Linked DNA regions of Stegostoma tigrinum. The protein of the gene in region 1 interacts with the protein of each later gene in a pairwise test. Links are inferred from orthologs where the notes say so. Each region holds a gene or a part of one and is shown on either strand. Other genes may lie near its edges. The genes, in order: srrm4, zrsr2 and srsf11.

Evidence for each region.
Region 2: the proteins of srrm4 (region 1) and zrsr2 interact in binary tests that used the Homo sapiens proteins (3 or more experiments, as listed by UniProt). The link is inferred for Stegostoma tigrinum from reciprocal best matches to the Homo sapiens genes SRRM4 and ZRSR2.
Region 3: the proteins of srrm4 (region 1) and srsf11 interact in binary tests that used the Homo sapiens proteins (3 or more experiments, as listed by UniProt). The link is inferred for Stegostoma tigrinum from reciprocal best matches to the Homo sapiens genes SRRM4 and SRSF11.

The regions. Positions count from the first base shown.
Region 1 is NC_081379.1:35,811,608-35,822,302, forward strand, and holds the start of srrm4 (serine/arginine repetitive matrix protein 4), read left to right. Parts: upstream 1-5,370; 5' UTR 5,371-5,389; intron 5,390-10,695. UniProt on the Homo sapiens protein: Splicing factor specifically required for neural cell differentiation.
Region 2 is NC_081365.1:79,361,211-79,372,010, reverse strand, and holds the start of zrsr2 (U2 small nuclear ribonucleoprotein auxiliary factor 35 kDa subunit-related protein 2), read left to right. Parts: upstream 1-6,631; 5' UTR 6,632-6,643; coding exon 6,644-6,675; intron 6,676-8,799; coding exon 8,800-8,879; intron 8,880-9,912; coding exon 9,913-9,982; intron 9,983-10,800. UniProt on the Homo sapiens protein: Pre-mRNA-binding protein required for splicing of both U2- and U12-type introns. Selectively interacts with the 3'-splice site of U2- and U12-type pre-mRNAs and promotes different steps in U2 and U12 intron splicing.
Region 3 is NC_081361.1:52,970,938-52,982,177, forward strand, and holds the start of srsf11 (serine/arginine-rich splicing factor 11), read left to right. Parts: upstream 1-6,413; 5' UTR 6,414-6,624; coding exon 6,625-6,740; exon of another isoform or gene 6,741-11,240. UniProt on the Homo sapiens protein: May function in pre-mRNA splicing.

The DNA.
Region 1 (10,695 bases):
GGTTGACATGCCAGTCTCCCATTACAACATTTAACATGGCCTGTAACCTGCACAATGTGGGTTACACTAGCCTTGCATTTGCTATTTTTCCAAATCGAACCATAGAATGGGCCCAATATCCTTACTTCAAGAACTGGACTGAAATAGTCGTTCTCATCTGCATAAGATTCTTACACATAACATAGATAGATAGCCTTTATTTCTCATTCCAGGTAAGAGCTGAGCTCTGCTTTGTATTTGAGAAAATACTCAGTCAAGACTGCCAAAAGAGTTTGTACATAAAAGAGGGAAAATGGATAATGGATATTTCCCTTGAAATCATAGAGAGATGTCTTGAATGAATGGCTACAAAAGGATATGGTGACCCACTTGTGGAGAAGAGAAAAAAAAATCAATAAACACCTACTAGCAACCTTGAAATCAAATAGAGATTTCAAGAGAAACTTCTAGGCCCAAAGGACTGTGCAAATGTGTAGCTGCTTCCTACAGGAAGCAGTTGATGAGAGTCGGGATGATGATGTAATGAAGGTTCACCTTTACTGACAAGGGGAAAGGGAATTGAGATTTTTGCAGGTGTAGTTATGAAGAGGGATAAATGTTGGCATGGTGTTGTTAGGTTAGGTGGCCTATGTATGTATAGGATATTATATGTAATTTAAAATGTAATTATTAAAGATTAATCAGAATGCTAGAGAAGGTCCCTATATTGGAGGGGGCCTGCAGGATTTAGGCAGGATATAAACCACCTTCAGTGATATTTTAGCCACTGAGTTATCGCATTTTTATGTGATTCCCCTGCAAGCAATGCTCAGATATTTGTTTATCCATTTAGATTAAATGGTTAACAAATGCTTTAAACAGTGTTCAAACAGCACAGACAACATTTTATGTGAGCAAGAAGATTGCTGGCTGCGATTTTGACTCATTAGTTACTTAGCAACAACAGCTCAGTGATCCTGAGTTGTGGACAAGGTAATGTCCCAAACTGTTTAGTTCTTGCTGTTTGTATTGCTCGAGGTAATAAGGCCTTCTCATACAAGTGCTGCTATTTAAAATATCAATTTTGCACTGTCACCCCCTCCCACTGATGAAGGGCCATGTTATGTAGTATATTTTTTGCCAAATTTTATTTGTTCAGCATCTATAAGGGGTTGATTTTTTCTATTAAGAGGAAGTGAATACAACACCTGTGTAGATGTCCTTTTCAAAAGCACCGAAAACCCATACCATTAAACCTGAAGCTAAACACACAATTTGTCAATAGGAGCTTCAAAGTTGCTCTGATCTGGGTAATTCTGAGCTGCAGCATCCTTCAAAAAAATCTCCTCTCAGAAATTCATACATTAATTGGGTCGCTCAGCACAGTTGGATTTAAGCCTAATTTTTGAACCGTCAGCATCATGCACAATGCACAGAGTAGGGCAGAAATTCATACTTACCTGCAGACATTTTGCAGTATGCCAATTCATTATTTGGCTTTCTACAAACAGTAGAGGCCCACTAAAACAAATGGAATAAAAATATTTCATATACAAAGTCAATTTTCTGCAGGCGTTCTACAATGTGTGGTTAAATTGCGGCCTTGCTCATTGGTCTCTTGTTTCTTTCAAAGATCATACTCAGAACATACAATTATTCATTTTATGACATTGTGGTCATTATTTTACAAACAATGGTGTATTTCCTGATATATTCTCCTCCAAATCAGTGAAGATGTGGACCAGCAATGCTTCAGGATTTTTCCGTATTTGGGAATGGCAAAGTAGTGATAAAAAAGACCAGTAAAACTTGTATTGCACTTTCTTCAGTAATCATGAAGAATTTAACTCGTAGGTTTGTTGAACTAGAGATAACACTTGCATTGATATAGCATTGAGTCATTTTTAATAGCACTTAACAAACACCAACTGTCAAATGTGATCATCATTTGAGCTCCATCCAAAAAACATTTCATTTGATGTCTTGAAAGGAAAATCAAGCACAAAATTTTGTTGTATGACTAGTTAAGTTGGACAAGTTCAGTTGTCCTACCTGCAAATTAAATATTCAGAATTCATCTGGATTGAGATTAAGACTACCCCAATTGTTGTCTCTCTGATGGTCCTATCAGTTTGAGGGAGATATCACTCCAATGGAGCTGCAGCACTGATGGTGTTGTCACCTTGATGCAGCTGATGTTCTGAGAGTGCTGTCACTCTGACAGTGCTAACCCTCTCATTTTTTTCTGTCATGCTTATGTTGCTCAATTTCTGATGTATTAGTTTCAAATTATCTCCATATTAAAAGAGGAACGCTGTAAACACTTGAATTCTGGCTCCATCATTTATGTTCAAAACCAAGAGAATTTGTGACCCGAGGACACAGATTTAATTGATTGGCGAATGATGCAATTACTCTCAAGTTGTGATCAGAAGTGGTGTTACTGTTGGATGAGTCAGATCCCAAACTGAAATCTGGCTTGAGAGATCATGATTTTCTTTTCTTTTTATTTAACATGGTGTTTATTTTCACTGAAACATAGTTACATAAAATGCAGATTTAGTTTCAACAATAAAACAGAAGTTCATTATGCAAAAGAAATGAAGATAAAAATAACACAAAGCAAGCTGTTTACATACAATACAATTTGAAATATTTCTAAACACAAGGCAAAACAAAATTGCATCTATTTCAATGTCATCACATTACAGTTTGCAAATACCAGAAACAATTTCATTATTACAGCTATAGTTTCAGCTTGGATGCTTTCTTTCATTTCCCATTCTTGAGCAATTGTCAGCTTCTTCCTTGATTATAAATACAGCAAAGCATTTTATTAGCTCCAGATAACACCTTCAGCGTTCTAAACAAACACTTCTGGTCTGGACTTTAAAAGCCTATTTCTGAACTGACTCTTTCCTCCAAGAGAAACTGAAATAACATATAACACTAGCCAGGTATTCTGTGGACTAAAACCAAAGCTTTCCAAACCATGTGTTTTACCTCATCAAGAATCATTTCTTGATTCTTTTAAAGCAAAAGGAAGCTAATGGCTTTTAATGCTTGCACTCTCCATTAGTAAAACTTCCATAATAAACACAAATTCACATTTTCACATTACGTGGGTCCCAGTCAGCTGCTCTCTAACAGGTTTTAAAATGATTGCTTCAGAAATAGTAGTAAGTTAATCATTAAACCCTTTCAAATACAGAGACCAAAACCCAATGCCACTGATTCAAAGTCCAAACTCTAAAATAAATGGTAATAATATATATGTCACACACCATGCATCACATTCTACAGTAATTTACAGCAGAAAACTCGATAAACCTTTGAAAAGAGGATATCAGCTGGGTTGTACAGAATAAATGGGAAGGGGACATTTTCATAGATCTTTGAACAGGCTGACACAGTCAAGGTGAGCTATTCTGACTTCTGATGTTATGCATTTTGGACTACCAAATATTTCCTATGTTTGCCCAGCAAAAAAATCCATTTAATTTATTCCAGTTTGTAAAATAATCACGATGCTTTGTTGTTGGCAAATGAGACAGTGCCATCAAAGTGACATCTTCGATTAACAGCTCCACTGGAATTACAGCACCATCAGAGTGATAGCTCCAGAGTGAAAGCACCACCAGAATAACAGTACCAGAGTGAGTGTTGACAGAATGACAGCTCCATCGGAGAGACAACACCGTCTGAGCAACAACTCAGGAGTGGCAAAAGCTTCAGAGTGAACAGCATTGTCAATGAGTCAGAGCTTCAGAATGACAACTCCATCAAAGTGATAAAAACCACAGATTGACAACTCTATCATTGACTGAACCATCAAAGTGACAACAGAATCAGCATGTCAGCAATGTGACAGCAACAGAAACTTTGGAGTGTCAGCAATATGCGAGTACCAACGTGTTGCGAGATTAAATCCGTATCAAAGTGACAACACTTTTTGAGCAACAACTCCTTCAGAGCAAAAACACCATCAAAGTGACAGCATCCTTCGGAAGACAACCAGAGTTACAGTGCCAGAGAGATAGAACCATAAGAGTGACAAAAAGATTAAAGTGACAGCAAGATGAGGGTGATAACACCTTCAGAGATTCAGCAACATGGAATTGGCATCAGCATCAGAGTGCAGGTGAGAATAAGTGACCAGAAGGTGTGAGTGTGCCTGAAGCCAGGCTGAAATCTGATGAAAATGCTTCGGAGTTAATTAGTCATGAATATGAATCCTTTCCCTTCTTTTCTACCCAAGGAGGACTGATATAGTCTCTATTGTCTCTCACACAACTCCTTTACTTATTCATCTGTTATCTCTTGATGCATCAAATTATTAAATCTTAAATTGGCAGTTGCATTGGGAGTAGAATTCTTCCTGAGCTATGTAAATGCTTTTGTATTTCTTCACTACGATGGATAATGAACTCTTGAATTCTATGGCTGGTACTAACATATATTCCGAGTGCTAAATTTAATTTTTTACTTGAGCTATTAGTGTGCTATCCTCAACGCCTAGCAGGTTACCTGCAACACCTAGCACAAGATACATTGCAAATTATTGCTGTGCATTTTCATTAATCTTTAGTTGTCTCTTAGTTTGGTGAATTGCTGTCCTGATTGCAGTTGCTTTAAATTCTACTTTTTTATATTTAACAGTCTCCAGCTTACTATAAACCACAATTCTCCACATCATATTTCAGTCTACTTAATCTCACAGGCTTTATCTTTGCACTCCAAGATGTAGTTTTTGAATTTTACTCCCCACCAAATTTTCCCAAATTTCATTTAATTATGACTTGACGTCCTCTGTCATGCTACTTATTTATTAATTTCGTGTCTGCTAATGCCTTCACAAAGCCTCAAGGTAATCTTTCTTCCTTCCTATCTCCAGTTTATTTTCTGCAACCATCTTCAGATTACAGATTTGCCAGTTTTTAACATCTATAGGATAATGAACCTTTGGAGCATCTTCTTTTCCATTTGAATGGAGCCAAAACCATTACTTTACATTACTTCCTCTTTAAATCTTCTGCAAAAAAGGTCCTCAAATGATTCTTAACCTTCACTTGAAATGTCACTATTGTACTCTGATTCCTTTTGTATTAAAAAAAACCTCCTGCATGAAGCCTTCTTTTCCACTCCCATGATAAATTATGACACAGAATGCGTTGCATTTTCCTTCTGCCCCGTCTGCAAAATGTTATAATTGTATTTCCTATTCTCAAAGCTTGCCTTTTTTTTATCCATAACCCTGTTATTTGAATGTGTTTTGACCTAAATTACAGGCACCCCCTCCTCACACAGCCCACTGTCATTACCCATTCCACTGAGCAGACACTGGGATAATGACACTTGAACAGTTAGGAGCTCGTGTTGCCAGCAGAAAGCTGCATCTGAAGGGAATAAGGTTTGAGAGTCTTATATCTATTTCTTGTGATTGCCAAATGTCTTTGTTCCTGTTTAAAATGTATTTTCAGTGAGTTGTTAATCTGCTTGCTTCAAAACATATTAACACTGCTACTAAAATATTACATAAAATGTATGCCACAGAAACAGGTAATTCTGTCTAACTGGTCCATGTTGGTAATTTTGCTCTAAATGAGCTTCTCCTACACCTATTCACCTCACTTTCTATCCACAATACTCCTATTTTTCTCATATTTATTTAGCTGCCCCTTAAATAAAACTATAACTAGTCTGTTCAACTGCTTCTTGGAGAAGAAAGTTCCACAATTCAAACTATTCTCCATATGGAATGGGATCTCCTCAATTCCCTTTTATATTTGTGAATGACTTTATTTATTGCAGAAGGCATAAGTTACATTAGAAACTTAGATATGTTGTGTTAATGGATGAGACTAATGATCAATTTCTGTGGAACATGGATGAAGTTAACAATGTTCCTAATGAATTTAGCGTGAAATGAACATAAAGAAAATCAGAATACTTGCTGACTCTTATTAGTCATAAGCCAATAAATATAATGGTGATGATTTCAATTGATGGAAAGAAAGTGAAACAAGTGGGCAAATTTATTCATCCTAGATTAATAGAGACGCTAAATGTGATACTGAAATTTTCATAACAATTGAAGTAGCAAAACTGATTTCAACAAAGATAATAAGCCTGAGCCCAAGAAAATGTTAGCCCAGATCCCAGATCTGATCGACGCTTCTCAATGATTCTGCTGATATGTATCCAAATGGTCAAAAGACTCAAAGACTGAAAGGTGTCATCAACACTGCTTTCAAGCAACACCTGCTCAGAGATAATGGGAACTGCAGATGCTGGAGAATCCAAGATAATAAAATGTGAGGCTGGATGAACACAGCAGGCCCAGCAGCATCTCAGGAGCACAAAAGCTGACGTTTCGGGCCTAGACCCTTCATCAGAGAGGGGGATGGGGAGAGGGAACTGGAATAAATAGGGAGAGAGGGGGAGGCGGACCGAAGATGGAGAGTAAAGAAGATAGGTGGAAAGGGTATAGGTGGGGAGGTAGGGAGGGGATAGGTCAGTCCAGGGAAGACGGACAGGTCAAGGAGGTGGGATGAGGTTAGTAGGTGGCTGGGGGTGCGGCTTGGGGTGGGAGGAAGGGATGGGTGAGAGGAAGAACCGGTTAGGGAGGCGGAGACAGGTTGGACTGGTTTTGGGATGCAGTGGGTGGGGGGGAAGAGCTGGGCTGGTTGTGTGGTGCAGTGTGGGGAGGGGACGAACTGGGCTGGTTTAGGGATGCAGTAGGGGAAGGGGAGATTTTGAAACTGGTGAAGTCCACATTGATACCATATGGCTGCAGGGTTCCCAGGCGGAATATGAGTTGCTGTTCCTGCAACCTTCGGGTGGCATCATTGTGGCATCAGTGCAGGAGGCCCATGATGGACATGTCCTCTAGAGAATGGGAGGGGGAGTGGAAATGGTTTGCGACTGGGAGGTGCAGTTGTTTGTTGCGAACTGAGCGGAGGTGTTCTGCAAAGTGGTCCCCAAGCCTCCGCTTGGTTTGCCCAATGTAGAGGAAGCCGCACCGGGTACAGTGGATGCAGTATACCACATTGGCAGATGTGCAGGTGAACCTCTGCTTAATGTGGAATGTCATCTTGGGGCCTGGGATAGGGGTGAGGGAGGAGGTGTGGGGACAAGTGTAGCATTTCCTGCGGTTGCAGGGGAAGGTGCCGGGTGTGGTGGGGTTGGAGGGCAGTGTGGAGCGGACAAGGAAGTCACGGAGAGAGTGGTCTCTCCGGAAAGCAGACAGGGGAGGGGATGGAAAAATGTCTTGGGTGGTGGGGTCGGATTGTAAATGGCGGAAGTGTCGGAGGATGATGCGTTGTATCCGGAGGTTGGTAGGGTGGTGTGTGAGAACGAGGGGGATCCTCTTAGGGCGGTTGTGGCGGGGGCGGGGTGTGAGGGATGTGTTGCGGGAAATACGGGAGACGCAGTCAAGGGCGTTCTCGATCACTGTGGGGGGAAAGTTGCGGTCCTTAAAGAACTTGGACATCTGGGATGTGCGGGAGTGGAATGTCTTATCGTGGGAGCAGATGCGGCGGAGGCGGAGGAATTGGGAATAGGGGATGGAATTTTTGCAGGAGGGTGGGTGGGAGGAGGTGTATTCTAGGTAGCTGTGGGAGTCGGTGGGCTTGAAATGGACATCAGTTACAAGCTGGTTGCCTGAGATGGAGACTGAGAGGTCCAGGAAGGTGAGGGATGTGCTGGAGATGGCCCAGGTGAACTGAAGGTTGGGGTGGAAGGTGTTGGTGAAGTGGATGAACTGTTCGAGCTCCTCTGGGGAGCAAGAGGCGGCGCCGATACAGTCATCAATGTACCGGAGGAAGAGGTGGGGTTTGGGGCCTGTGTAGGTGCGGAAGAGGGACTGTTCCACGTAACCTACAAAGAGGCAGGCATAGCTGGGGCCCATGCGGGTGCCCATGGCCACCCCCTTAGTCTGTAGGAAGTGGGAGGAGTCAAAAGAGAAGTTGTTGAGTGTGAGGACGAGTTCCGCTAGGCGGATGAGAGTGTCGGTGGAGGGGGCCTGGTCGGGCCTGCGGGACAGGAAGAAGCGGAGGGCCTTGAGGCCATCTCCATGCGGAATGCAGGTGTACAGGGACTGGACGTCCATGGTGAATATGAGGTGTTGGGGGCCAGGGAATTGGAAGTCCTGGAGGAGGTGGAGGGCGTGGGTGGTGTCACGGACATAGGTGGGGAGTTCCTGGACCAAAGGGGAGAAAATGGAGTCCAGATAGGTGGAGATGAGTTCGGTGGGGCAGGAGCAGGCTGAGACGATGGGTCGACCAGGGCAGGCAGGTTTGTGGATTTTGGGAAGGAGATAGAAACGGGCCGTGCGGGGTTGGGGAACAATGAGGTGGAGGCTGTGGGTGGGAGGTCCCCTGAGGTGATGAGGTCGTGAATGGAGATGATGGTTTGGTGCTCGGGTGTGGGGTCATGATCGAGGAGGCGGTAGGAGGTGGTGTCGGAGAGTTGGCGTCTGGCCTCGGCGATGTAGAGGTCAGTGCGCCATACTACCACTGCGCCACCCTTGTCTGCGGGTTTGATGGTGAGGTTGGGGTTGGAGCGGAGGGAGGGGAGGGCTGCCCGTTCTGCGGGGGAGAGGTTGGAGTGGGTGAGAGGGGTGGAGAGGTTGAGGTGGTTAATGTCTCGACGGCAGTTGGAGATGAAGAGGTCGAGGGAGGGTCGGAGGCTTGGGGGTGGTGTCCAGGAGGAGGACATCCCCCTCTCTGATGAAGGGTCTAGGCCTGAAACGTCAGCTTTTGTGCTCCTGAGATGCTGCTTGGCCTGCTGTGTTCATCCAGCCTCACATTTTATTATCTTGGAATTCTCCAGCATCTGCAGTTCACATTATCTCTGATACTATTTTAACCTCTCTGCGAAGCCTCTTCCAGGGATGCCTAACCTGAAGAAGTTACCCTCCTCCCTCCGGACCAACCTCAGGGAATCTCTCTCCCATTGTAACTCTCTTGTAATCTCTTCGGCCTTGAAACTGCTCGACCATGTCCTGAAGCAAACCAGGTACCACAGCCACATCACCTTCCTCAGCACCTGCCTACGGAACCAGATCATCCCCAAGGGACTACAGTCCACATTTCAGCCTTCCCAATTTGGCCCCAACCGTGACCACCTCTACACCCAGAATATTCAGACCCTTCAGAAGCGTTTCTCCCTGCGAGTCCTGAAACAGACACTCGCAGCCATGCGCCGTCACCTCCAGGCACTGCAATCCAGCCTGCCCCAGCTCAGAGCCTCCGTCTCCCAGACCTGCAAAGGACCTCTGCTGTTTTTCATCCTCCACAGGATCCACAGACTGAACACCCAGTTCCACTCAGCTTTACTGGACACCAAAAATCGTAAGTACAACCAACTCACGGGCCCCTGCCACCCACAAGAGGATTCCTGCGCCTCCCAAATCCCGACTCTGTCCCTGCCCCTCCCCCACCATGCACCCGCCGCCATTGACCATGAGGACACGGCCGGAGACCCCACCGATGACGTCACATCGGCCTCCGCCGGCCACAGAACTTCCGGAACCGCTGCTGCAGTCACCACCTCCACGTCCAGGTACAACACCTGACACACCACCCTCACCGCAGCTGCTGCCGCCCACCCCGATCCTCCAACCGCCGACGGAACCCCGCCCACGGTCGACGCCGACGGAACCCCGCCCACGGCCGACGCCGGCGAAACCCCGCCCACGGCCGACGCCGACGGAACCCCGCCCACGGCCGACGACCTCATCGCTCCGCCCACAACCTCCACAGCCAGCAACCCCAGAGAAGACAGCCACACTGAGCCCTGCCGCATCTTCACCATCCCCCCAGACCTCCCACTGACTGAGGACGAACGGTCAGTCCTGAGCAAGGGACTCACCTTTGTCCCCCTACAACCACACATCAACGAATACCAGTCACGGTCGGACATAGAGCAGTTTTTCCGCCGTCTTCACCTCCATGCCTACTTCTTCAACTGGGAACCTAACCCTCCTTCCAGTGACCCCTTCACCCGCTTCCAACACAAGTCCTCCTCCTGGACACCACCCCCAGGCCTCCTACCCTCCCTCAACCTCTTCATCTCCAACTGCCGTCGATACATTAACCGCCTCAACCTCTCCACCCCTCTCACCCACTCCAACCTCTCCCCCGCAGAACGGGCAGCCCTCCGCTCCCTCCGCTCCAACCCCAACCTCACCATCAAACCCGCAGACAAAGGTGGCGCAGTGGTAGTATGGCGCACTGACCTCCACATCGCCGAAGCCAGACACCAACTCTCCGACACCACCTCCTACCGCCTCCTCGATCATGACCCCACACCCGAGCACCAAACCATCATCTCCAACACCATTCACGACCTCATCACCTCAGGGGACCTCCCACCCACAGCCTCCAACCTCATTGTTCCACAACCCCGCACGGCCCGTTTCTATCTCCTTCCCAAAATCCACAAACCTGCCTGCCCTGGTCGACCCATCGTCTCAGCCTGCTCCTGCCCCACCGAACTCATCTCCACCTATCTGGACTCCATTTTCTCCCCTTTGGTCCAGGAACTCCCCACCTACGTCCGTGACACCACCCACGCCCTCCACCTCCTCCAGGACTTCCAATTCCCTGGCCCCCAACACCTCATATTCACCATGGACGTCCAGTCCCTGTACACCTGCATTCTGCATGGAGATGGCCTCAAGGCCCTCCGCTTCTTCCTGTCCCGCAGGCCCGA
Region 2 (10,800 bases), on another chromosome or scaffold:
CTTGCTGGCCCCTCACCTCGCGGAGGTCCTCCGTGACATCGACCCCCATCGATTGCAGAAGGAGCAGGTTCTGCCCCCTTTTCTGGAGTCGCGACAGCTTTCCCCGCCTCTCTCTCACCTTCCGAACACCCTTGAGGACAAAGAACCTCTTGATGTTCTCCTTCACCTTCTCCCACCAGTCGCCCGGAGACTCAAAGAGGAGTTTCACGGTTTTCCAACCGGCGTAGTCCCTCTTAAGCTCCTTGACGTTCTCTGGGGTCAACAGAGTCATGTTGAGCTTCCATGTCCCCTTGCTGGCCTGCTGGTCGTCCTGTAAGTGACAGTCGGCCAGCAGGAGGCAGTGGTCAGAGAAGAACACCGGCTCAATGCCGGTGGACCTGACCGAGAATGCCCGTGACACAAACAGCAAGTCCATCCTTGAGCGGATAGACCCGTCTGGCCGCGACCAGGTGTATCTCTGCTGCGTTCCGTCTGCAGGGGTGCTGAAGATGTCGAGCTGCTTGGCGTCCTTCACCGTGCCCATCAGGAATCTGGATGTGACGTCCAGTTGACTCGCCCCACCCACTGTCCCCACGCCGGATCTTCCGTCTGCATCGATGATGCAGTTGAAGTCTCCGCCTAGGATGACCGGCCTGGACGTAGCCAGCAGGGGTGGAAGCCGCTGCAGGACGGCCAACCGCTCACTCCGTACCGCTGGGGCGTACACGTTGATCAGCCTCAGGGGAGCGTTCCTGTAGGTGACATCAGCCACTAGGAGGCGCCCCTCCACCACCACCTCCTGAACTTGAGAGATGGTGAAGTCGCGCCCCCGCAGCAGAATAGCCAGGCCCGAGGAGTGACAGTCATTACACCCCCCCTCCGCCGCCCCCGACCAGATCGAAGGCCCACATGTCCAGGCGCCCAACCATTTCCCATACCTGCTGAGGTGCGGTATCCCGCACTCCTGCAGAAACAGGAGGTCCGCCTTGATGGTGGTCAGGTAGGCCAACGTGGACACACATCTCGCGGTTGACTTGACGCTGCGCACATTAATGCTCGCAACTCGTACCCCATTGTGGGCAGTGACCGCAGTACCCTCCCCAAGTCCAAGGTCCAGCCCCTCCATCTGTCCCTTCATGCCCATTGCCCAGGCTAACTGCTGGACGCTCTCCGGGCTCAGGAAACCGTCCGTGCTGCCTTCCGGGTGGCATCCCCCCATCGGGGGCACGGAGGGAGGAGAGTCCGGCTCTGGGTCAGGCTGGGGACACGCTGTTTCCTGCTTCCTGTCTGAAGGTTCCGGGGGGCCCTCCAAGGGGCGCGTGGCCTCAGGACGCCTCCCGTCACCTGGAAGCGTGGTGCAGCTTTCCTCCTCCCTGGAAATCTTCAGCTTCTGCTTTGAGCAGGCCTCCTCTGAATCCCCCTCGTCAGAGGAGCTCTTATAGCACCCCCGTAGCTGCCTCTTCCTGCCTGACGGTTGTGGTGCTGGGGCTCGCCGGCGCACCTTCCTCCTCGCCTTCCGGACCGTCGTCCACTCCCCTGGGTCACCTGTCGCCTCCTCCATTGACTCCGGTTTGTCGGGGGGAGCAGAGCCTGCAGGGGCGCTTTCCTGGCCTCGGGTCTGTCCTGTGGGGCTGGTCCCTCCTGCATGACCTGGCCCTCCTGCACATTAGGGGGGTCCTTGCAAGGGCCTTGTGCCTTCCTCTCCTCCAGGGGGGCTTCCCCCACATTGCCCCTGTCGGCAACCTGGGCATAGGTGGTCCCCTGCCACGGGCATGCCCTATAGAAGTGGCCCGCTTCCCCGCAAAGGTTGCAGCTTTTTTCTTTTGGGCAATCCTTTGCAAGGTGTCCCTCCTCCCTGCAGTTCCTGCAGATGGTGGCTTTGCAGTCGGCCGCCACGTGACCTGACCTGCCACAATGTTCCCGTCCTCAGCGTCACCCTGACCTGCCTCTTACTGGTCCAGATCCCAAAGGGGTCCATGATGTTGGTTAGGTCCCCTTCCACCTTCACATACCTTCCAAGGAAGGTCAGGACATCAACTGCTGGCACATGCGGGTTGTACATGTGTACAGTCACCATACGGCTCCTCTGCGCTGGCATCATGAACAGTGGGACAGCGGTCAGTACAGAGAGGGGGCCCTCACCTCCTTTCTCCTTGAAAACCTCCAGGAAGCGCTCGCAAAGCTTGGCACTCCTGAAGGTCACATCGTAAAAACCTCCTCCGGGGAAATCCTGCAGGCAGTAAATGTCCGCAGCAGTGAACCCATAACAGTCCAACAGGACCCTCTTCACGAAGAAGGTGCGGTCCACAGGTGCACCTTCATCCACCTTCTTCAACGGAAACACGGATGGTGTTCCGGACCCCCGACCCGGGGCACAAGCACTCGCCGCAGCCATCGTTGCAGGTTGGCTGCTCCCCTGACCCGGCGTTAGGCCGAAGCCAGCATTAAGATCCACTGGTTGCAAGGGTGCACAGCCAACCTGATGTCTTCCTTCCACCTCCAAAACAGTCATGCTCTCCTCCTCTCGGTCCACAAAAGAGTGGGTCTTTATTTTGTTCCGGGTGGAAGCTGGTTCACTGAGCTGGAATGTTCATTTTCAGAAGTTTCGTCACCATACTAGGTAACATCATCAGTAAGCGTCCGGTGAAGTGCTGGTGTTATGTCCCGCTTTCTATTTAACTGTTTAGGTTTCCTTGGGTTGGTGATGTCATTTCCTGTGTCGGTGATGTCATTTCCTGTTCTTTTTCTTAGCGGGTGGTAGATGGGCTCCAAATCAATGTGTTTGTTGATGGAGTTCCCGTTGGAATGCCATGCTTCTAGGAATTCTCATGCATGTCTCTGTTTGGCTCATCCTAGGATGGATGTGTTGTCCCAATCAAAGTGGTGTCCTTCCTTATCTGTATGTAAGGATACGAGTGATAGTGGGTCATGTCTTTTTGTTGCTGGTTTTTGTTCATGTATCCTGGTGGCTAGCTTTCTGCCTGTTTGTCCAATGTAGTGTTTGTCACAGTTCTTGCAAGGTATTTTGTAAATGACGTTCGTTTTGCTTGTTGTCTGTATGGGGTCTTTTAAGCTGACCTTCCAGCTCAGCGAGCAAACTCACATCCTGACCAGTCGTTGCTTGGAGCCATATGCAGAATAATAGCTCTTATTGTTTTTTTTAAAAAGCCATAATGTTTAAAGGAGTGTGTGGAGGACCTTTCCAATGGAAGAGCGAGTCCAAACAGGCAGGAGCAATGTTGTCGCGATGCACCGGGGAAGGTTGAAAGTTTGTTCGAACGGAAAATTATATACAACATGTCACACTATCCTGAGAGGGTAATGGTGATGCAGAGATTTGATGTCCGCATTGCAAAAGGTAGGGTCAGGGCTAGGAAACTGGAAAGCAAGGTTGAGAAGGGCATCAGGAGAGGCACAGATTGAAATGGGAAGAGAATGACAGGGATATTTCCAATATGGAAGTAATGCAATGAACAGGAGCAGTACTCATGGAATGGAACAGCAAATAGCACATCCTACAGCATTAAACATGGAGCAGTGCAGCACAGGAACAGGCCCTTCTGCCCACCATATTGTGCCGAACATGATGCCAAATTAAGCTAATCCCTTCTGCCTGGCCTTGGTCCATATCCCTTCATTCCTTGCATATTCATGGTCTCTTAAACACTTCCACCAAGCCCCCGCCAGGACAGTCCAAGCACCTAACCCTCTCTGCATAAAAATCTTGCCTCCTCACACCTCTATTGAACTTTCTCCCTTCATCTTAAATGCATACCCTGTAGTATTAGACATTTCAACTCTTGGGGAAAAAAGATTCTGTCTGCCAACCCTATCTATGCCTCTGATAATTTTATAGACCTCTATCAGGTCTCCCCTCACCCTCTGCTGCTCCAGAGAAAACAATCCTAGCTTGTGCAGTGTGAAGCTGGATGAACACAGCAGGACAAGCAGAAGAGCTCTCTGATGAAGGGTCCAGGCCCAAAACGTCAGCTTTTGTGCTCCTGAGATGCTGCTTGGCCTGCTGTGTTCATCCAGCTTCACACTTTGTTATCTTGGATTCTCCAGCATCTGCAGTTCCCATTATCTCTAGTTTTTCCAGTCTCTCCTTTTAGCTCATACCCACTAATCCAGGCAGCATCCTGGTAAACCTCTTCCGCACCCTCCCCAAAGCCTCCACATCATTCCTGTAATGTGGTGACCAGAAATGAACACAATACTTTAAGTGTGACCTAACCAAAGTCTTATAAAGCTTCAACATCATTTCCTGACACTTGCATGCCTGTGCAAACAAAATAAAACTGTACTCTTGAAGCTGTGCGCTTAACTTGTGATGACTTTTCTCAACTTGCCCTCTTCCAATAAATATTGGTGCATTTGACAAAATGTTAAGAATTCTCCCTCCTTGGGTTACTGGCACTGTGGGACTGCTAGTATGGGACAGCTAGTTCACAGTACAAGTTGGTGACAAGACTCGTGTCTGAAGGAAAAAGACAAATGGACTCCCACCACATGAAATTTGTGCACCCATTGACCTGCCTGCAAGTTTCTCTGTGTAGATGACATAGAATTAATCATAGAATCCCTACAGCATGGAAGCAGGCCATTCGGTCCATCAAGTTTGCACCGACCCTCCGAACAGCATCCCACCCAGATCCACACACCCACCCTATCTCTGGAACTCTGCATTCTGCATGGCTAATCCACCTAGCCTACACACCCCTGGTCACTGTGAGCAATTTAGCATGGCCAATTCACCCTAGCCTGCACACTTTGGGCTGTGGGAAGAAACAGCAACCGTCTAACTATTTTAATTTTTGTTTTCTGAAGAAGGGTCCTGACCCGAAACATCTACTTTCCTGCTCCCCTGATGCTACCTGGCCTGCTGTATTCCTCCAGCTCCACACTGTGCTATCTCTGACTCCAGCATCGGCAGCTCTTACTATCTCTTGGGCAGACTGGGGTTGTTTATCTTAGAGTAGAGGAGATTGAGAGGGGACATGAATGAGATGTATAAAATTATGAGGGGCATAGAAAGAGGAGGCAGGAAGAAACTTGTCATCTTGATAGAAGGATGAATGACCAGGGGCCACAGATTTAAGTTAAGGGTGGAAGGTTTAGAGGAGATGTGAGGAAAAGCTTTTTCAGCAGAGGACAGTGGGAATCTGGAACTCACTGTAAGTATGGTAGAGGCAGAAATCCTCGTAACATTTAATAAGTATTTAGATGTATGCTTGCGATGCTAAGGTGTACAATGCTATGGGTGAACGACTGGAAAGCGGATTTAGAATAGTTAGGTGGTTGCTTTTGACCCCCACAGACAAGATGGAATGAAGGCTGTGCAGATCTATATGACTCAGTGACCAGCAGTGTTAACATGAGTGAATGTTACACCCAATTTCAAGAGAGAAGTGCCGGGGCGGGGGGCTGTCTAAGCTGAGTATGTTAAACTTAAATAAATACTTAGGCATGAAAGCTGAGAGCTAGCTGAGGCAAATTGGGATATTAGACTAGGAGATAGAACAAGCAAGAAGCAGTGGCAACATTTAATAGGACACTTCAGAATACTCAAAGAAGTACATTCCTGTTTTAAAGTAAAATGCTATGGCATGCACCCACTGTCTGTGGTTAATTCGAGGCTCAGAAAAGCACTAATCTTAGGGGGGAAGAATTGTTAAAGGTGACCGGAGGATCAGATGACTTCAATATATAAAGAGCTAGAAATAATGACTAAAAGTTTAATTAGGGCTATTAATTCGCAGCATGAGGGGATGCTAGCTAGAAATGTAAAAAATAAATAAGATATTCCATAGGTTTTTAAAAGTAAAGCACCTGGATGAATACATGAATAGGAAGGGAATAAATGGATACAGATCCTGTAAATGAAAACAGTTTTAGTATGGAAGAACAAAATGTGGCAGCGGAGGCTTGATGGACCTGTTCCGGCGTATTGTGCTTTGTAAACAAGTAAGTAAAGTGAATGCTGACAACAGTGTATGGAGCTGGAGAAACACATTAGGGGAACAGGAAAGTTAACGTTTTGAGTCAGGCCCTTTTCTGACGATGGGTCCCAACCCAAAACGTCAACTTGCCAGCTACTTCGGTGCTGCCTGGCCCTCTGTATCCCTCCAGCTCCACACTTTTGTTATCCCCGTCTCCAGCATCGGCAGTTCTTGCTATCTCTGAGTAAATGAATGCTGGGGTGCGAGAGAGTGAGAATGGAGTGTTAATAGGAGATCATGCAGAAATGACAGAAAAAGTTAATAAATATTTTGCTTTGTCTGCAGTTTAGGATTATAGAAATTATCGCTCCATGAGGAAGAATCAGTACTGAGCAAACTGATTTGAATTGCGGTTGTTAAGTCTCACGGTCCTTGTTAGACTTAATCCTACGGACGTAAGAGAACTGACTAAGAATGCGACAATGTATTGGTTTGAGTTTCCAAAGTTCATTCGATTCTGCAAACTTTCTGGTAGACTGGAAAAGGAGCAAATATAACCCCTGTACTCAAGAAGAGGGTGAGGGTGGTAGGATAGAGGGGCAGCGGCTAGACCGGATCAGGAAGCCAGTAGCTGTAGATACCGAAAGGCGCTAGCCAAATGCAGCTCCCGTTCCAACCGCCTGGGGAGTGCGCAGGCGCGCGGCGCCCACGTGACTCCCGGCAAAATGGCGATGTTGGCGGAGCCTCCGAGGATCAGGTCAGTGTCAGAGAGGAAAAGTACACGGTGTATGTGCGTGTGTGGGGCGGGGGGAGGTTAAATCAGTAAATGTAGAGTGCGGGGGAGTGAAATATACCCGGTTGGGGGAGAAAAGAAAGCGGGCAACAGGTCAGTGTCTGGAGAAATAAATCATATAAATATACAGAAAGACGGAGAGTGTGTCTGTGTGTCTATGTATGTATTTATGTGTATGTATGTATGCGCGCGCGTGTGTGTGGGGGGGGGTGTGTGATGGGGAGAATGTGTCCACCCCCCAGGGAGGAGAAGCTGAGGAGCAGGTCACTGTCTGAGAGAAGTAAAAATAAACTATATATGTGTGTGTATATGTGTTGGAGGGGTAGGGTGGAACGAGGAGAGAGAGAGAGAGAAGTAACTGTGTGTGAGAGAAGTGTACACAGTGTGCGCGTGCCAGCGCGAGAGAGAAGTGTACACAGTGTGCGCGTGCCAGCGCGAGAGAGAAGTGTACACAGTGTGCGCGTGCCAGCGCGAGAGAGAAGTGTACACAGTGTGCGCGTGCCAGCGCGAGAGAGAAGTGTGCGCGTGCCAGCGCGAGAGAGAAGTGTACACAGTGTGCGCGTGCCAGCGCGAGAGAGGTGTACACAGTGTGCGCGTGCCAGCGCGAGTGAGAAGTGTACACAGTGTGCGCGTGCCAGCGCGAGTGAGAAGTGTACACAGTGTGCGCGTGCCAGCGCGAGAGAGAAGTGTACACAGTGTGCGCGTGCCAGCGCGAGAGAGAGGTGTACACAGTGTGCGCGTGCCAGCGCGAGAGAGAGGTGTACACAGTGTGCGCGTGCCAGCGCGAGAGAGAGGTGTACACAGTGTGCGCGTGCCAGCGCGAGAGAGAGGTGTACACAGTGTGCGCGTGCCAGCGCGAGAGAGAGGTGTACACAGTGTGCGCGTGCCAGCGCGAGAGAGAGGTGTACACAGTGTGCGCGTGCCAGCGCGAGAGAGAGGTGTACACAGTGTGCGCGTGCCAGCGCGAGAGAGAGGTGTACACAGTGTGCGCGTGCCAGCGCGAGAGAGAGGTGTACACAGTGTGCGCGTGCCAGCGCGAGAGAGAGGTGTACACAGTGTGCGCGTGCCAGCGCGAGAGAGAGGTGTACACAGTGTGCGCGTGCCAGCGCGAGAGAGAGGTGTACACAGTGTGCGCGTGCCAGCGCGAGAGAGAGGTGTACACAGTGTGCGCGTGCCAGCGCGAGAGAGAGGTGTACACAGTGTGCGCGTGCCAGCGCGAGAGAGAGGTGTACACAGTGTGCGCGTGCCAGCGCGAGAGAGAGGTGTACACAGTGTGCGCGTGCCAGCGCGAGAGAGAGGTGTACACAGTGTGCGCGTGCCAGCGCGAGAGAGAGGTGTACACAGTGTGCGCGTGCCAGCGCGAGAGAGAGGTGTACACAGTGTGCGCGTGCCAGCGCGAGAGAGAGGTGCACTCGCTGTGCGCACGTGCCAGCGCGAGAGAGAAGTGCACTCGCTGTGCGTACGTGCCAGTGCGAGTGAGAGTTGAGCGACTAGAAATTTGTGTGTGTCAGCATGAGAGAGAGAGTTGAGCGACTAGAAATTTGTACGTGTCAGCATGAGAGAGAGAGTTGAGCGACTAGAAATTTGTACATGCTGTACTTGGGAGAGGAACATCTGCGGTGTGTGCATGTGACAGTGGAATGTGCATTGTATGAACACGCGAGAAATATACACCCTTTGTGAGAGTGAGACAGAGGAAGAAGCACTGAGTATGCGCGAGAAAGATAGATCGAGAGTGTGACAGAAAAGTATAGACTATGTGAGGGAGAAAAACATTGGGTGAGAGTGAGAGGGAGAAACACATTGTATGTGAGAGGGAAAGGAATATATATGTGTGAGAAAATATGCATTGAGAAAACATGCTGTATGTGAAAGAAATATACTTAGTGTGAGAGAAATGTACAGATTATGTGCGGCTCATGCACACAATGCGAGAGAAATATATACTGAGGGAGAAAGTACTGAGTCAGTAAAAGAGAGAGGGAGAAAAATATAGTGTGAGAGAGAAAAATGTACACTTGCTCTTGTACTCAGTCGCACTTGCTGTCTCTCTCTTCTGTATCTCCCTGTTGCTTTCTGTCATTGCAGTCACAGGAAGGCACGAGCATTGCTGAAGAAGGAGAAGCGGAAGAGGAAGCGACAGGAAGAGGCCAAAAAGCGGCAGGCAGGTAGGAGCCCAGCCAGAAGGGGAGGCAAGCCAGAGAATTTGGGGTTGTGGGGTGTGGAGAAGGGAGATCAGGGAAAGATCGTAGGGGTGGGAAAGAGGGAGGGTATCCAGGTTAGGTCAGGGAGTGGAGGATTATGGTGGAAAAGGGGGTAGCCAAGGTGTGGGACCAACACATTTGGGATGTTGGTGGTGGGGTGCCTGCAGTTCCTGGGAGGTGGGACATATTATTGGTGGAACTTGGAAGAGTGGGACTCATGGGTGACTAAGGAGTCGTTGGGAGAGGGGGACCTGGGACAAGGAAGGAGCCCAAGGTGGGTGGGAGACCAGAGATTGGGAGGCGGTGGGTGCGGAACACTTCCTAGAACCAGAGTGGGAGTAGCGTGTTGGAGCCCTGGAGGGGAGAGGGAGGACCTTGGCAGGGGTCCAGTAGCGGGTGAGACGGTCTGGAAAGGTGTTGTGGGTGTCGGGGGGGTGGGGGGCATCTGATATGGGTTTGGGCTGGTAAAGGAGTCAGGTAGGACTGAGAAACTGGGAGATGTTGCTGGGCAATAGGAGAGAATCGGAGAGACCAGTACAAGGTGAACATGGACCTTATGTTCTGGAACAGTTAGAGAGAATGCTAGGGCTAAACAGTAGAAAATATAGTTAGTGTTATTTTAGGATTGAGTGCTGTTTATGACAATTTTTTTCTTTGTTCATGGAATGTAGACATCACTGGCTATCATTTAATGACCATTCTGATTTGCCCTGGAAAAGGTACTGTTGCCTTGAACTGCTGCAGACCTTTGCATCTTGGGACACTTGAGGATTCTGACCCAAAAGATTTTCAGGAGTTCCTCCCCCTCCCTCTCTTAACTGATATTGTAGGTTTTCCAGTGATCATGCTGAGATTGGGTCTTGAAGCGTGGGGAATATATATCAGCAGTTCTTTAATATATACTACACTAAAAATGATGAATGCCAATGCATTCAGATTCTATACACTTTCTCTTTCTGCCAGCTGCAGTTGTGGTATTATTTTAATTCTGTTTCAGAATTGGCTATTGAAGAGGATATAGAAGCAGAAAACCTTGAGGAAGAAGAAATAGAGTTGGAAGCTGAAAGGTCAGTAACCCTTGAGATCTAAGAGCCTTTCACTTTACCAAAAAAAGGTCTCAAATTCCATATTGGAATGAGGATTGTTGGCAACTACTGTTTAAAGCATCTGTCAAACCATGTTATTTAAATGTTAAATCTTTAAATGTTATAGTTTTAAAACAAGTTTCTCCTCTTTTAAATCAAATGGAAATAGTTGAACTGTCAGTGATGTGGATTGCTGTAGTTCCTGAGGAGTAAGTAAACTCAATTGGTTGATTTGGGTTTGATTGTTTTTAATATATTGTAATGTTAATTTCTGTGTCCCTTTTCTGATGTGCCAGTGACTCTTTGGATATAGAGACCAAACCTGGACACGTATCTCCTGTATTAATGTTCAGCTATTAGCACTCCTGTTTTGTATTGCTGACTGGGTCTTTTGAAGACAAAGAAATTGATGAAAGCGGAGCTGTAGACATTGTCTATATGGAGTTCAGCAAAGCGTTTGATAAGGTTCTACATAGGCTAGTTAGTAAGGTTAGCTCACGTGGGATCTGGGAATGCTAGCCAATTGGATACAAAATTGGCTTGAAGGATTGTTTTTCAGATTGGAGGCTATGACCAGCAGTTAGTCACAAGGATCGATGCTGAACCCACTGCTTTTCATCATTTATATAAATGATTTAGATGTGAATGCAAGCAGGAATGATCAGTAAGTTTGAGCTGACACCAAAACAGGAGGTGTAATGGACAATGAAGAAGGTTATTTCACAGTACTATAGGACCTTGATGGGCCAATGGGCTGAGTAGTGGCAGATGGCATTTAATTTAGTTAAATGTGAGGCATA
Region 3 (11,240 bases), on another chromosome or scaffold:
ACGCTCGCGCCCGCGCCAAGCCGACCGCTGCGCGAGAGAGCTTCTTGGGGCGGGACGTTCTCTGAATGAACATTGTCCTCCCGAACACAACCGGTTTGTTGTTTCTTGTGCGGACGAATTATTGACAAGAGTCGGTGCTTCTCCCGAGAGATCGTTGCTTTTTTGGAAAACATTCCATCGTCACTGTTTTGGTAAAACAAAAATTGCCTCGGTAATCTAGCTTAATGTAAGCTAATCAACCAAGCATTGTACCTGCTAGATAAACAAGTGGGAATAAAGAATGGTGGTTTCTGACTGCAAAAAAAGCGAAGTATTTACCATTATGCAAAAGTGACGGGATCCAAATGTAGGTATTCTATTAAAATTTACAAACAATAATAAACAGTGGATATATCTCGTAATCAGGACTGCATCAAATTCAGGAACAAATAAACGTCTTGAGAATGAGTAAACAGTTTCATAGCAAAACATGAGGCATAGCTAGTTCATTTTGGCAAACGGAATAGGAAAGCAAATGATCGGGAGAAACACACTTAAGAGCGTCATTTCTAAACAAATTAACAGTACAATTTGGCATAAAACTTTGTCAACACCACATTCAAAGTATTTTATTCAGTTCTGGTCAACCAAAAGATAATGAAACAGTGGAGAACGTTTAGAAAAATACTACAAGGATTTTACCAGAAATGAAAAGATTCAACTATTGGAAAAAGATGGGCAGGTTGTGGTTCTTTTCATTGGTAAAGACATGATAAAAGGAGCCAGAAAGAGGGTTTTCAAATTTATAATGTGGTTTGAGGAAGTGGTTATGGAAAAGCTTTCTGATTCTTGAATTCTCTAGCCGAAAGCAGATCAGACCTACAAGGTCATATTTTCAACCATGGGTAGAGGAAAGATGTATCTCCCAAATTGAACCCAGCTGGAACGGTAATCAGAGATAATGGGAACTGTAGATGCTGGAGAATCCAAGGTAACAAAGTGTGGAGCTGGATGAACACAGCAGGCCAAGCAGCATCTTAGGAGCACAAAAGCTGACGTTTCAGGCCTCGACCGTTCATCAGAAAAGGGGATGGGGAGAGGATTCTGAAATAAATAGGGAGAGAGGGGGAGGCAGACTGAAGATGGATAGAGGAGAAGATAGGTGGAGAGGAGAATATGGGTGGGGAGATAGGGAGGGGATAGGTCAGTATGGCGAGGACGAACAGGTCAAGGGGTGGTGGGATGAAGTCAGTAGGTGGGAAATGGATGTGCGGCTTGAGGTGGGAGGAGGGGATAGGTGAGAGGAAGAACAGGTTAGGCAGGCTGGGATGAGCTGGGCTGGTTTTGGGATGTAGTGGGGGAAGGAGAGATTTTGAAGCTCGTGAAATCCACATTGATACCATTGGGCTGCAGGGTTCCCAAGCAGAATATGAGTTGCCGTTCCTGCAACCTACGTGTGGCATCATTATGGCACTGCAGGAGGCCCAGGATGGACATGTCGTCTAAGGAATGGGAGGTGGAGTTGAAATGGTTTGCGACTGGGAGGTGCAGTTGTTTACTGTGAACCGAGCGTAGGTGTTCTGCAAAGCGGTCCCCAAGCCTCAGCTTGGTTTCCCCAACGTAGAAGAAGCCACACCGTGTACAGCGGATGCCGTATACTACATTGGCAGATGTGCAGGTGAACATCTGCTTGATGTGCAAAGTCATCTTGGGGCCTGGGATGGGGGTAAGGGAGGTGGTGTGGGGGCAGGTGTAGCACTTGCTGTGGGTGCAGAGGAAAGTGCCGGATGTGGTGGGGTTGGAGGGAAATGTGGGGTGGACAAGGCTGTCGCGGAGAGAGTGGTCTCTCCGGAAGGCAGACAAGGGTGAGGTGGGAAAAATGTCTTTGCTAGTGGGGTCAGATTGTAGATGGCGGAAGTGTCGGAGGATCATGCGTTGTATCCGGAGCTTGGTAGGGTGGTATGTGTGGACTAGGGGGATTCTCTTGCGGCGGTTATTGTGAGGGCGGGGTATGAAGGGATAAGGTGCGGGAGACACGGTCGAGGGGTTCTTGACCACTGTGAGGGGATCTCATCATCCTCCGATACTTCCGCCATCTACAATCCATCTACAAAGACATTTTTCCTTCCCCATCCTTCTGGAGAGACCACTTTTTCCGTAACTCCCTTGTCCGCTCCACACTCCCCTCCAACCGTACCACACCTGGCACTTTCCCCTGCACCTGCAGGAAGTGCTACACCTGTCCCCTCACCCCCATCCCAGGCCCCAAGATGACTTTCCATATCAAACAGATGTTCACCTGCACATCCGCCAATGTAGTATATTGCATCTGCTGTACACGGTGTGGCTACCTCTACATCGGGGAAACCAAGCTGAGGCTTGGGGACCGCTTTGCAGAACACCTACACTCGGTTCACAGTAAACAACTGCCCCTCCCAGTCGCGAACCATTTCAACTCCCCCTCCCATTCCTTAGACGACATGTCCATCCTGGGCCTCCTGCAGTGCCATAATGATGTCACCCGTAGGTTGCAGGAACAGCAACTCATATTCCACTGGGGAACCCTGCAGCCCAATGGTATCAATGTGGATTTCACCAGCTTCAAAATCTCTCCTCCCCCCACTGCATCCCAAAACCAGCCCAGCTCGTCCCAGCCTGCCTAACCTGTTCTTCCTCTCACCTATCACCTCCGTCCACCTCAAGCCGCGTCTCCATTTCCTACCTACTAACCTCATCCCGCCCCCTTGACCTGTCCGTCCTCCCCGGACTGACCTATCCCCTCCCTACTTCCCCACCCATACTCTCCTCTCCACCTATCTTCTCCTCTCTCCATCTTCAGTCCACCTCTCCCTCTCTTGCTATTTATTTCAGAATCCTCTCCCCATCCCCTTTTCTGATGAAGGGCCCAGGCTCGAAACGTCAGCTTTTGTGCTCCTAAGATGCTGCTTGGCCTGCTGTGTTCATCCAGCCACACAGTTTGTTATCTTGGAAGGGGAATCAACTCCTTTGTGAAAAGAGAAACAGTGTTAATATTTGAGTCTGAAATGTCTCTTCTTCTGAAGTCATACCAGGCTCAAAATATTAAATTTCTTTCTCCCTCTGTGGATGCTGCTCAACCTGCTGTGTTCTCCAGTATTCTGTGCTGGTTTCAGAGTTCCAGCATGCACTGTATTTTGCTTTTATTTGAATCAACTTCTTACTGTTGGCATCAGTCTGAAGCACATTGACATCATGGATAAGAATGGGAAGCAGCAATGAAAGTAACAGGAGATTTACCTGCAATATAAACAGAAACATACAAGCTTCTACAAGCACAAGTGGACATGCAAGGTCTCAGTTTAACATGTTATGCGTACAAAAATATCTATGATATTTTAACACTCCCTCAGTGCTACAGTGGAGTGGTTGACTACACTTTGCGTTCAAGTCACTAAAGTGATATTTGAACCCAGTGAACCAACACTGAGATTGAGAATGTCTATAAAGTGAACAAAAGCAACAAACACAAGACTGATGTATGGCGTAACAAAATTTACTTGCAGCATAATGGCTCAGAGGTTAGCACTGCTGCTACGCAGCACCAGGGACCCAGGTTCAATTCTACCCTCAGGTGACTAGCTGTGTGGAGTTTACACATTCTCCCCATACCTGTGTGGGTCTTCTCCCTCACTCCAAAGATGTGCAGGATAGGTGGATTGGTTATGCTAAATTGCCCATTATGTTCAAGAATGTGTAGATTAGGGGTGTGGACTTGTTGGGCTGAAGGGCCTGTTTCCACACTGGAGGGATTTGATGATAATTTTGACATTTTGCAGCAAAACTGAATACAGTAACATACTAAAAAGTTAAATCGGCAAATACAATATTAAAAAAGAAAATGCATTAGTATTTTGTGAAGATTGTATATTAAAATAAAAATGTACTACTATGTCACAAATGATAATGGAAATACTCATGTTTATAGAATCATAGAATCCCTACAGAAGGATGCCATTCTGCCCATCAAATCTGCATCTGAGGAGCATCCTACCCAGACTCAGCCACCTACCGCATCCCCATAACTCCACATCTACCATGGCTGATCCTGCACATCTCTGGACACTACGGACAGTTTTAGCATGGCCAATCCACCTAACCTTCACATCTATGGACTGTGGGAGGAAACTCACACAGACGTGGGGAGAATATGCAAACTTCACACAGTCACCGAAGGCTAGAATTGTACCCCAATCCCTGCAAAGGCTGCTGGCAGTTTTTGATGGCGTTCTATGTATTTAACAACTGTCTCACTTCCTAGTAGCAGAGGAATCCTTTAGATTGTTGAAAGTGTTCTCTGCTGAATACTTTTGCAAGCTTATTCAGTAGCTTTCAGCAGACAGCTGTCAAACTGAACTTGGAGAGAGAATATATGATTTAATAACTTACATTTACACAAAGAAATTGGAAACAAAAGAAAATGCATGTGACATCTGTTTCTTATTCTGTCTCTGAACTAAAAACATACTTAGTTTTTCAATATTATCAATTTCTAAGACCTCCTCCTCATTAGAACTACCATATAGCAGCTTTTTTAAAGCTGGAATTCATCTAGGTTTGACCATCATGTGAAAAATGTTTCATTCTTTTTCCTGATAATTGCCTGTTATACCTACACATTAAGCTTCTTTACGTAGGTTTTCCCATTAATGGTTCGAAAATAGCTTTTTACCTCATTAAAGAGACATTGACATTTTTTATTTAGGTTGCCCCCCAAAATATTATTGTTTCAAGCTTCAACTTTAATATTTGCAGGTGGTAATGATATTAAGTGGAGAAAAAAATACTGTGTCATTCCATTGAAAACGAGAGATATATAATTTTGAAATTATCAAGTACTCAGTTTGATTCATTGATTCTCAGAAAGAATATTGGGATTGAAGGGGACTCAGGTAATTGAAACATTTCCTAAGGAGGGATGTTGAAGGAACTGTGATAAATTTCCAAGTCAAAATGGTACATGACTAGTGTTCCATGTCCTTGTTGGTGCCCTTGTTGTCTTGGGTGGTGTAAGTCCCGAATTGGAAGGTGCTGTGGAAGTAGCATTGAAAAATGTTTGTAGTGCATCTCTAAAATGTACACACTCCAGCTAAATGTTTGAAGTGGTAGATATGGTGCAATTCACCTTGCCCTAGATCTTGAACAGAAGGAATTGTACTTATTCAGGCAAGTGAAAAGTAATGCATCACATTCCTGGTTTGTGCTCTGTAAATAGTGAAAAGCTTTGTTGAGTTAGGGGATGAGTAAGTTGTTGCAGAATTCTCAGCTTCTGACCTGGACTTGTGGCATGATAGAACATAGAACATAGAACATTACAGCACAGTACATGCCCTTCAGCCCTCGATGTTGTGCCAACCTGTCATACCGATCTGAAGCCCATCTAACCTACACTATTCCATGTATGTCCATATGCTTATCCAATGACGACTTAAATGTACCTAAAGTTGGCGAATCTACTACCATTGCAGGGAAAGTGTTCCATTCCCCTACTATATATGGTGGTTGTTCCAAGTTTCTGCATGGTCAAGGGTTACACACAGATGTTCATAGAGCAGGATTCAGCAATGCCTTTGAATGTTATGGGGAAGTGGTTAAACTTTCTTTTATGCATTGCTTGGAACTTGTGTGGCATGAGCATTGCTCATTTATTTATCTACACAAAAGTTGAAAGTTGTCCACATTGCTGCTGCATTTGGTTAGAAGCTTCTCACCACTTTACAAAATACTAATTTGAAACATTAACTGTGCTTTCTCCACAGATGCAGCCTGTCTTACTGTTCACAACACTTTCTATTTATATCAGTGATAATGGGAACTGCAGATGCTGGAGAATCCAAGATAACAAAGTGTGGAGCTGGATGAACACAGCAGGCCAAGCAGCATGTCAGGAACACAAGGTGCTCCTGAGATGCTGCTTGGCCTGCTGTGTTCATCCAGCTCCACACTTTCTAAATCCTCTGGGAATATATTTCAAATCTCTGAAGCATTTGTTGTGGGAAAAGCACTGCACCAAGAAACTGAAAATGACAGGCACTGAAGAGGAAGAAAACTTGACTTCTTTTGTTGATAAATAGAAAGACCGTAAAGGCAGTAATGTTGGTATAAAACAAAGAACTGTGGATGCTGGAAATCCGAAACAAAATAAATATTGCTGGAGACACTCAGCAGGTCTGGTAACATCTGAGAAATATTGACTCTGCTTCTCTCCACAGATGTTCCAAGTCAGAAATGTTATTTACTTTGCATTTCTTTTGTGATGGTAAATGCTCCGAAATCTCCTGAAAATGGTAGTCGCTTAGGCCGGATTTTTAGGCAGAAAGATATTCACTTCCGTCCGCCCGCCGCCAGGGGAAGGAAGGATCGTGCTGCGCTTGCGCGTTGAATCGCGCCGGATTGTGGGATACCGCGGAGCCTGCCCGTTGTTGTTGAAGGTTTCGGGGCGAAGACCCGGGAGTTTGCAGTGCCGATTAAATTATCTGTGAATTGTCATATATAGTTTATTTTCTTCTGTATTCTTAATGTCTTAGGTTCAAGAAAACGTCGTTGAAAAAATTGGATCGAGAAAGTAATTACTTTAAAAAAAATAAAACCTTTATTTAAAAACGCGAGATGGCTACAGACGTCATTCAAGTGACCAATGTGTCGCCGAGCGCCACCTCGGAGCAGATGAAAACTCTGTTCGGGTTTCTGGGCAAAATCGACGAGTTGCGGCTCTTCCCATCAGAGTGAGTAACTCCAAACTTCCAGACAGGCCTGGGGCCTAGCCCGCGTCGGATCCGCTTTTAAGACTTTTCCTTTTTGAGTGAAAGTAAATTTCTGTTGGGCGTACGTTTTATGAGCGTACGACTTGATATAATCCTTGAGTGAAAGTATTCACTTTTTTCTTCCTTTCCTCGTAAACGATTACGAAGTAGCAATTTTTCTCCTCTATTGTGTGGCGTTTGGACTCGCTGCCATCTCATACGCGTCATCTCCTTTATTCCCACCACATGTTCCAAGCTGTTTTTATCAGGATTCATATCGACGGTGTTCTTTGAATAAAAAAAATGAAACGAGAATGTTCTTATTTGAAAGATGTTTATTTGAAGGTACCCAAGCTTTGGAGGATTTATTATTACCGGGGTAAAGCAAAATGGCCGCCAATGTAACACCTTTCGTCAATCCTGTCAGACGATCCTTGTTTTCGATCGTTATTGTTCAATGATGTTGTGAACTTACTACTAATCATTATTAAATGTGTTAAACAGTGTTTTGAATAAAATTGGCTACATTTTGTGAGGAAAAGAAAAGCGCGAGCAGTTCAGAAGCAGACTTCAAGTGTCGTACGGCCTACACCTCGTGTTTCTTAAGTGTGGGGAAGTAAATAGGCTACTGAAGGAGAAATGGGCGTATGACAACACAAGTAAAGTGAAATTTTCATGGTCTTACAAAAGCCGTTAGCCATTGACTCAATTTGTAATTTCGGCCGAAAAACAGACGGAATTAAAAAATGAGAGATAATGGAAACTGCAGATGCTGGATGAGTCGGTTTTTATTTTTAAAAGTGAGAAAATTATAACTGATTTTATTGTTGTCAAGACTTGACAACATCTTTTGAAAGGAACGCACATCGGTAAATGCATATTACGTTAGAGAAGGATGATTCTGAACATTAAACATTTTATCCTTTTTCGAATATTGCTTGAGACTCTGAATCATTATATTTGTACAGTGTTTATTTATAATACTTGTATATATTTATGATTTGTTCTCTCCTGAGACTTGGTTGTTAAAGTGGCATTATTGGCACGGTGAACAGTTCCCTGTAACATTTTAATTACGTTGCTTAATTATCTTTTCAGGTATTTTCTGTTTGTTTCCTTAGGCAAAGATGTACATGCTTTAAACCTGAAGATTTAAAGCTCGTGAAGATTTGTAGCTTGGGTTGTGGATGAAGTTGTTGGCTTGCTTGCTGGGTTGGTTGTTGTTCAGAAATTTCGTCACTGTGCTACTTAACGTCATCAGTGCGGCCTCCGATGAAATGATGATGTTCTACTCCGAGATAATAGGAACTGCAAATGCTGGAGAATCCAAGATAACAAGGTGTGGAGCTGGATGAACACCGCAGGTCAAGCAGCATCTTAAGAGCAGGAAGGCTGACATGTTACGTTTCTGATGAAGGGTCTAGGCCCGAAATGCCAGCCGCCTTGTTCTGCTCCACTTGGTATTAATGTGATCCGGTCTGTTAAGTTGGGCTGTGTCATTTCCAGTTATGTTCTGCATGGGTTTGTATATTAGGTCTAATTCCACATGTTTGTTGATTGCGTTATGGATTGAAAACCAGGCCTCTAGGATTCCCCGTGTGTATCTGTGGCTGGCTTGAGCTACGATGGTCACACTGTCCCAGTTAAATTGATGGCCTTTATTGTCTGAGTGCCGAGACGAGGGACAGTTCGTCGTGTCGTTTTGCTACTAGCTGATGTTTATACACCCTTATGCAATCAAAAACGTGTGACATTAGACCCCACATACAAACCGATGCAGAACAGAACCGGAAGTGACTCACACCAGCTTAACAGACCAGATAGTAAAAATACCAAACGGAGTAGAACAACATTGCTTCATTGGAGGCCGCACTGGTGTTACCTAGCATGGCGTTGAAACGTCTTTGTCATAACTAGCCAGATCAGCGAGCAAGCAAACAACCTTAAACCCGAAGAATTTGGGTACGGATTGACTTAAAAATTTTTGAGGTTGTTATGCATAAAGATAGTTTCAAATATTATTTTTGTTAAACTTGGTGACTGATTTATCATAGCTACTTCCTAATTTTTGATATCAGAGGTATACCTCTTATCCCTTCATAAATCAGCTAACTTATTAACTAATGCTTTTTTATGCTCAACAGTTACTTGCTGGATAATGGTTTTCTGGAAGTTTTTTTTATGAACAAAGATGACTTAACCAGAGTCCAGAGGACAGCACTGCAGGGAAGAATAAATTATCACTGCTCGTAAAATGATGCTAATATTTAGTCCAGTGTCTAGATGATTTGGAAAGAAGAATAGGGTATTCCATAGTTCTGAGATGGTATAAGTGACAAGATTGGACCACAAGATTCAGGGGTGTCTCGGCAGGATATATGTGGAAAGCATATTTCCTCTTGTGTGAGAGAGCTAAGTGTCAATGCTTTAAAAATAAGGGATTAATCTTTTAAAGACAGGAAGATTTTCTTCCTACAAAGAGTCTTGGGACATTTCCTCAAAAGGTATTAGAAGCAGAGTATTTTGAATGTTTTTAAGACAAATGTTGATTAGATTTCAGATGAGTAAAGTATGAAAGGTTATAGGGATAAGTGTGAATTTTGAGTAAATCAACCAACCAAACTCTTATTGAATGGTGGAGAGTTAACTTCCTAGTTCAGATGTTCACATTATACTTAAGTCTTGATTCCGATGTTGGCACAAGAGACAAAATCTTAGATGGGATCAGGGTTTTGAGTTTGAACTTAGTGTAAAATAAGAGGCTGTGAATATAATCTCTGTTGAAAATAGTTTATATGTAATTCCATGGCAGGAGTGGCAGTCTGTCCACAAGCATAATATCCTGCTGACACAATTCAAGTATGATTGACATTTACAATTTAAAACTGCATGATATACAGTTGATATCAACTTGTGTAAACAGTTGTCTGGTAATTATAAACAGGCCTCCTGGTTCTAATGGAACTGTGGAATGAATTGCCCAGGTCTATCTACTATTTTCTCCCCTTGTACATAAGTTTTTTTTTTAAGTTTAATCTTTTTGTGTTTATTTTTAATAATATCTTTCTCTGCTTTCCTCCGGTTTCCCAGACTTCTCCCCTTCCACTCCATAAAGACCAGATAATTAAAATGCTGGGCTTTGCCAGAACACCTGGAGAAATGCTAGTTCATAATAGAAGAGAGTGCGCTATAAAATAGCAGGTGAGCTTAGTAAATTGGGGAATCACTTGCAGACAGAGTCCAGAGAGCTGCTAAAATATTTTGAGTTAGAAGCAGTTTAGTTTCAAGGAGTTGTGTAAAATACAGTCATTACTTCAGGTCAAAAAAAAAAGTGAATGATGGAGAATTAATGTAGAGGTGGATTTGGAGGCTATTTCGTGAGGTTAGGTGGAGCTTAGGAAAGTGTTCTGATTTCAGTTTTTCTGGATATTTACTGGGAGAGATTTTTAGCTGGTGATATGGCTTGCAGCTTAGAAGTTGGCACACAGCATTTGCTTTGGCTTACACTTGAGGCAGAGAAAAATATGAGCTTCATTATTGGTCATATGCAAAGGTGAATGAAGCTTAATTTCAGTTTGAATCTTGAACAGAAGGTGAAAGATTACCTCGTTTGAAGCTAGTGCGGAAATTCAGTTGGCCTCATTGTCTTATTGCAAAAGTAAGTGGATTACCTTGGAGTGTTGGAAAAGTAGCTAAAAAAGGGACTTGGGCTTCCATGGTCAAGAGAGAACAGGGCAAGTTTTACCTCAGAATTGCTGGAGCTAAGAATGACTTTGGTCTTGATGGCAGTAAATAATTTTAAGATTGCCTTGTAAGAAAGCTTGAGGCAAGTGAAATGCAGACCTGTGTACAATATAAACTAAGCTATACTGATAATCTAATTGTACTTCTGTTTAATTTGTTCAATATATGTATTTTTTTAATTGAAATCTTGTGGCGTAGTTTTACTTGTTAAAAGGTGGTGTTTGAATTCCTTTTTGAATATTAAGTCTTTGGACACGAATGCCACCTGCCCCGGTGCTTAAATTGCTGCTTTGTTTTCCAGCTGCACTGTTTAGATTATAATAGCCTGGTACATAAATTTCAAATTTCTCTTGTGGTCTCCTTTCTAAATGTAAGTACCTGCAACCCAATACTTTTTTATAATTGTATATAATGAAATCATTAATCTGACAAGTTTAACATTTCTCATTCTCCTATCAGAACTAATTATACACTTAAAACACAACATTATATTTCAGAAGCAGTTCCTTCATTATATAATGTTTTGGGATGCCTTAAGACTTGAAAGAGCACGTTAATAGTTAGGATAAACAATCCTGCGTTAATGTAATACTGCAGTGTACTGAATGGCTCAGTAAACAGCAGTGCAAGTGTAAAGGGGATTAGTCTCTCGGACATCTCTGCAGGTTTAAAACTCAGCATGCGGTTTGCTTAGTGGAAGCTGGTACTTATTAACTGTTTCCAAACCACAGCCCATCT